2 linked regions of the Saccharomyces cerevisiae S288C genome follow. The protein of the gene in region 2 interacts with the protein of the main gene of each other region in a pairwise test. Each region holds a gene or a part of one and is shown on either strand. Other genes may lie near its edges.

Region 1 (4,061 bases), on a different chromosome or scaffold from region 2:
AATGCCAAAAAATACAGAATATTTTCCTTCTTTTCACTATAACAAGTAGTAAGAAATTAAGCAATATGGTAATTTGAGCTTATCAGATAAAAGATCCTGGTAGTCTTGCAAAGGTGTGAGTACTTTTGATGAAACTAAGTTTCAGCGCAGCTATTTCAATTTTGGAACCTTTAAAGAAAGTTTAATCGAAACATTGAACGATCCAAAGCACAACTTTGTAGCGGGAAGTCACAAACAAATATAAAAAGTGTTAATAAACTGCCATCCTATGTTAGAATTGTGAAACTTTTTGGACTAATAAAAGGTTTTCAACATGGTGTTCCAAAGCACTTATTTCTAGGTTAGCTATGGTAACGAGTTTTAACGTAATCAAAACAATATACAATTCAAGATCTGTATCATTTACACTAACACACCCCATTTTAATAGAGCTGAGTACTTCCTACATTTCTTTTGCATATGATATCGCCACTGCATCATTTCTGTAGTCGTAAAATTTCCTTCTCATTAAGACACCGAAAATAGCTAAGGATTATAACAAAACAAACAAATGCTCAAACAAAACTTTTAGTAAATCTTTTGAAATGTAAAAGTTACTTAGAATAACTAAAAAAAAAATATTACGCTATACCATATATTTCCATTCCCAATTTTATCGTTTTATAATAATATTCAGTTTCAAGAACAATGAATATATTTCAAACATTACATGCACTCTTGGGAGTAAGCTGCATCATAATAAATTAAAATTAACGCTTTAGAAAAAGAAATTTTGAGGTTAAAGGATGGAGGAAGAAATCGATACCAATTTCAACTTTGATCGACCTGTCTGACTGAAATTATTTCTGCGTTTTTCTTACTACAATTAGTACCATTCTCTTCAACTTCAATAGTTCTAACCATTGATTCTTCATCTGTCTCATCAAATCCCATCTTACCAGTCCAGCCATTGGATACCAAATAGTTGTGAAATTCAACGTCTTGCTTCATTAAATCGCTTTCAAGAGAATGTGGAACAAAGAAATATGTAATAATGATACCAATAAGACCACAAATTGCAGCAATAATAAAAGTCCATCTTGCACCCAAATTATCCCTAATGGGTTGGAAACATTCGACGCCTACTACAGAACCGATTTTACCAGTCACAGCAGATAAACCATAGAAAACACCTCTAACAGCGGTTGCTGACGCTTCACTACTAATAACACCAAGCATATCACCTGGTCCAGCATTACCTAACATATTCATGAATGCGTAGAAGATAATAAACAAGGGGGTGATTTTTTTCAATTGGTCGTACGCACATCCAATGATTAGACCAAAGATGATGTACCCAGAGAAACCAAACATCAACGTATATTTACGACCAATACGATCGGACAGATAAGCACCAATTGGTACACCCAGTACAGCTAAAACTCCCAACAGTAAGTTCCACTCTGCCACTTTTACTAAATCATTTTGGTCCTTGATAACGGAACTGATAATTGTTGAACTGAAAATACCATTTGGGAAGGTAACAAAATCATACATAAACCATGTACCACATGTACCAAGTAACCTTTTCCAATAAAATTTCAATGCTAGGAAATATGGTATATTTCTCTTGATTCTACCTTTTTCATAGACTTCTGTAGTAGCAGTCTTCCATCTAAAATAGAACACACTCAATGGCCAGAAGCACCCTATTGCAAAAACAGTCCTCCAGATCGCCTCTAAATGTTTTGTTCCTGAACAGATTTTGTAGACGATTAAAAAGATGATCGTAGCAAATGGACCACCGAAGGCTAGTGGCAAATTTGTCACCATAACCAGGATACCACCTCTTTTGGTAGTGGTATATTCATTAGCAGACTCATTAGCACTTAATGTACTGGTAGGATATTCTGCACCAACACCAATACCTACCAAACCTCTCATAACTGTTAACATCCAAAACATGCCAGGTACAGTAGTACCGTGAGAGGCAGCACACAGAGCACTACCAATAACCAAGATAGCAGTGGCCACAAGGATACAAGATTTTCTACTATAATAATCAGCAGCGATACCCATAAAGAATTGGCCAAAAATAATACCAACTAGGGCTGCGTTGGAAACTCTAGTCGACACTTTTGAGCTATAGTTTTTCTTACCGTACTCCATAACAAAAACCTTGTTTAGCATACTCATTGAACCATTTACGTAACCATCACTTATCAGAGCAAAACCGGACGCAATGATTGTAACTATGTTTTTCCATTTATCTTTCTTTGAGGTTTCAGTACGGGTTGCACGCCTCTCGGCATCATATTTTATTATTCTAGGATTAGTGTTCTCGTTCACTTCCTTCTCATTTACCGATGTGATATCTTTGTCTTCCATTTTTTATCCTATTCTATTTTTTTGATTATAAGCAAAAAGATCAACTCACGTCTGCGGCTGGTTGACTAGTCACAAGAAACAGATAATAAATACTGTAACGAACATCTGCTACAACTACATTCATCGGGGTTTATATATTCACGAGTTTCCTACTTCATCCAGACACATTCTGGATGTCTTCCAGCAGATGTCCCTCATCAAAGAATTAAGATAGCCAGATTGAAAAACTAGGTTAACCAGAGAACTAAGTTAACTAATGTTGGAAAATAATCCTACGATACAGTGGACGGAATGCCCATATGCCTATATAATCAATCCATGCTAAGGTGGGGGTCCAGTAAGGAAATTCATGAATATGAAGATAAATGTGGCACCAAACGGCAACGCGGAAGACCGTAGGATCCAATCATATAACCCCTATTATTCTAACATCATTGCTGTTGGGTACAACATTCTACGCCGCTATTACTACGTGCTGCTTCTTTTGATTCTCTGCTTTCTTTACCGTCATGCACGTGCGCCGCGAAAAGTATTAATCATGCGGACACTCTGGCATTTAGGGGATACTGTCAAAAAGACTATGCTCAATACTGTCATATTCATATGCACGTTCTTTTTTTAATTTATCTTGGCAAAACGTGGGGCTGGAACTTTTGAAACGCACTGCAACATCTGTGGCTGTACAGTCAAGAAAAGTAAGTACTCATCGTCATGCTCTAATGTGTATATGGTATTTGTGGTGCAGACACCATTAGAAGTATAGTTCACGAAATGATGACACGATAGCATGTGCTTTTCGACGGCTGATAACCTTGTATTCTCTTATTTTTGTATTCTTTTCGTAAGCGGCATTTGTTTGCAGAACCTTATCGCAGATATCGATAAACATTTGTTGACAATTCTTTTTCGCTCCCCTTCTTTTTGTTTATCTTCGTTATATTCAATAGTCTACATACACTAACCGTTGAATTGTTGCAAACAAATACTAATAAAAATCTATATATAGTAAATTGAAGATGTACTGATCAGTCTATCATTGTTTAGTGCACCCAGACTCGAATCTTAAATACCACTTTACACACCTACTAAATTTTGTCCTCACAAAATGAAGACAGGATTCAAAACCGATTAATAGTAGCAGAAACTAAAAAAGTACGAATATTAGTAAAATTCATGTTCTTGAATCGAGCTACTATCTTTGTCGGGAGGGTAAACGATTATAACTCAAAATGACTGGAACTGGTGATTATTAATTTTTACGTTTCCTGTGCCAATAAGCGGAAGATAAGAGGATAGAAGAAAAGAAAGGCGGCACTTGGCGAACTACAATGGCGATTATATTCATGGCGATTATATTCATACAAAGGTAATGGAGGCCTCGGATAATGGACAATATTGAGAAAATCCTTATGCTTACTTCTCTTAATAAAAAATAGACACAGCCATTTATTATGCGTAAAAAAGATTACCCACTTGTCTTCGATGCGTGCTGCTGCCAATCAACCTTTTGAGCGGAACTTCGAGCTCGCAATGCGTCTGGAATGTTGCTAGAGACAGTCTTGGTTATCTGTGACATGTGTTTCGTTCAGGCGTGTGAGCATCTTCTTGTTCGATTTCAAAATTACCGCCTTGACTCGTGAAACTGGATAATTCGTTGGCGTTTTCATATAAGTCGTCTGATGGCGAAAACTTTT
Region 2 (3,051 bases):
TCATTAAAACCATCCACCATTGATGACCCCAAAAGTGGATATGGCCTTTTCGTAGAACCTTCGAAGTTCAAGAATGATGAATTGAAAAGTGAAACTATCCAATTGCTCCGAATCCCTAAGCGCTGCACGTTTAATATAAACACACTTCTGGCTCTCTTGGGAGATGAGGACGAATTTTCTTCAAAGGAAGAATTTCAAAGAACTAATGACAAAATTAAGATTGCTCTTCGTGAAATAATGGCTCATCCGAATTTCAGTGTGTTCCTGACAGAAACAAATTTACTCATAATTTATTTCATGATATTTCAAACTATTCGTAGTCGTTATGAGATTCCCGAAAATATCCAATATTATTTAGAAAATGTTTTAATGAGCATTGAAGTAGAAACAGCCATGGATTCTATTGAAAACTTAGCTACTGATTATGGACATTATCCACAGATTTTTGGCCTTCGAGAGACGCTAAATTTATTTAAAGAACTGTTTCACGACGTCTTGAATTTAAGTGATATCAAACATCTTTATTCTGCAATAATTTCACGTTGTTTAGAGATACCAGAAAGGGCCGATACCAAAAGTGAAGAATTCACGGTCCATTCTACTTTAGTCCCTATTGTAGATTTTGCCAACCATGAAGGCACCCAAAAAAATGCTTATTTTGACATCGACCCTTCAAATAATGACGTTTTACTTCTATTGGATACAAAAGCGGTCCAAAGTGAACTCACAAAACCTATTGAAGTTTTCATTAGTTACTCACCAACAGAGGATTTATTTTCCATGCTTGTAACATATGGATTCACCCCAGATTTTAGAGGGAATTCCCAATTTTGGACTGTATCCTTTGACAGGTGCTTTTTAAGAAACTATGATGGACCAGATAAAACTACAAATTTAAGATTGTTTTACAAATGGATGCACATAAATCCAGTGGTACCACTAGTTAAATACGAGCACAACGGAAAGACTCGCTGGTTTCTCAATGACACCACGCCTGAATTTGATATGCTTTTGCTCCCATTCATTCCATCGATAGATGATGGCAAAATTGCTCGGTGGGCGTACGATTCCACATGTCATTTGATGTTCACGAAAATCCATTGTCTGATAAATCCCGAGGCCAACGAACATGCGTTAATGATTGCAGAAAACTACCGCTCTCTCATTAAAGAGAAAGAGTCAAATGGTGACGATTTCATAAATTTACCGCCACTAGCTTGGTCATTGCGTTACAAAGATACAGAAAACGATTGTGTACGGCAAAGACATATATGCAGTGAAGATGCGGTCGCTGTACTTAAACAAGAAGAAATGCAAGACTCAACCAAAACCAAATCCCAGTTTACCAGTTTCTTTCGTAAATTTTTAGAGTTTCGTAGATCCAAAATTATTAGGCCTACCAGTGATTCAAAAGTTGCAAGCATATTATACCAGCAGGAACTGGAAATAATTGCTGACTTAGCAAAAGCTATCGATAGCAGCTCTACCATTTTTTTCAGCGATCTGAATGTTACATTGGACACCGAACCAGAACGGCTCCCCCCTCTAAGGTTTTTAGATGATTACATAGAGATCTCTGCGGATAAGCAGGAGCCAAGCCCAATTTGTGAGGATCTTTCTTATTATACACCCAGCAGGTTTACTGATTTTTTTCAAGAAGAGGTAAGCCAATATGCGGCTTTCTTTCAGGATGACTAGATGAGTACCACTTACGATCTTGTATATAAATGTTTTTAGTTGTCCTTTCTTCTACATTAAAAGCATCACAAAGAACAATCTGACGCGTTTTTCCACTGTCTCTTTCTCGCGTTTTATTCTTTTCCGTTTGAGACAAAAAAAGAGGAGCTTTGTAGTGTAATACTACTAGTTACTTAAGGGAACACATCAAGCATTCGGTGTCTCACAGGCTACTATGAAATATAATATAGTGCATGGAATTTGCCTATTATTTGCTATTACCCAAGCTGTAGGGGCTGTCCATTTTTATGCGAAGTCCGGGGAAACCAAATGCTTCTATGAACACTTATCCCGGGGAAACCTACTGATTGGGGATTTAGACCTATATGTAGAAAAGGATGGTCTGTTTGAAGAGGACCCTGAATCCAGTCTGACAATAACTGTCGATGAAACATTCGATAACGACCATCGTGTCCTAAATCAAAAAAACTCACACACAGGTGATGTTACTTTTACAGCTTTAGACACAGGTGAACATAGATTTTGCTTCACTCCATTCTACAGCAAGAAATCAGCCACACTAAGAGTATTCATCGAACTAGAAATTGGCAATGTTGAAGCGCTTGACAGCAAGAAAAAAGAAGATATGAATTCACTTAAGGGGAGGGTAGGCCAGTTGACTCAAAGGCTATCTTCTATTCGTAAGGAGCAAGACGCTATCAGAGAAAAAGAGGCAGAATTCAGAAATCAAAGTGAATCAGCTAACAGCAAGATAATGACGTGGTCTGTGTTCCAACTTCTCATATTGCTGGGCACCTGTGCCTTCCAGCTACGCTATCTCAAGAATTTCTTTGTCAAACAGAAGGTAGTATAATATACCATGTTTGTTATATAGAGTTTATATATCGCTCATTACGAATCGGTGCAATGAGCTCTTCGATATGAAATATTCCTTAGCTTAGTAATAAGAGTGACTTAAGCTGATGCCGTTGACTGCAAAAGGAAGTAAATAGAAGTCAATAACAATGAATGACTACCATCTCGAGGATACCACGTCTGAACTTGAAGCATTAAGATTGGAGAATGCACAATTAAGAGAGCAGCTTGCCAAGAGAGAAGACAGCAGCCGCGACTACCCATTATCTTTGGAAGAATACCAACGTTACGGAAGACAAATGATTGTTGAAGAAACAGGTGGTGTAGCAGGTCAAGTCAAGTTGAAAAATACAAAAGTTTTGGTAGTTGGTGCTGGAGGTTTGGGATGTCCCGCCTTGCCCTACTTAGCGGGCGCTGGCGTGGGCCAAATAGGCATAGTAGATAACGATGTGGTGGAGACTTCCAATTTGCATAGGCAGGTTCTTCATGATTCTAGCA

The links.
Region 1: the proteins of ERP5 (region 2) and GIT1 interact in a protein complementation assay, tested with the Saccharomyces cerevisiae proteins (one large-scale study listed by BioGRID).

What each region holds. Positions count from the first base shown.
Region 1 is NC_001135.5:296,239-300,299, forward strand, and holds GIT1 (Git1p), read right to left. Parts: upstream 2,368-4,061; coding exon 811-2,367; downstream 1-810. UniProt on the Saccharomyces cerevisiae protein: Glycerophosphodiester transporter that mediates uptake of both glycerophosphoinositol (GroPIns) and glycerophosphocholine (GroPCho) as sources of the nutrients inositol and phosphate.
Region 2 is NC_001140.6:330,370-333,420, forward strand, and holds ERP5 (Erp5p), read left to right. Parts: upstream 1-1,912; coding exon 1,913-2,551; downstream 2,552-3,051. Other genes in the region: CTM1 (cytochrome c lysine N-methyltransferase), read left to right, coding at 1-1,698; UBA4 (Uba4p), read left to right, coding at 2,703-3,051. UniProt on the Saccharomyces cerevisiae protein: Involved in vesicular protein trafficking.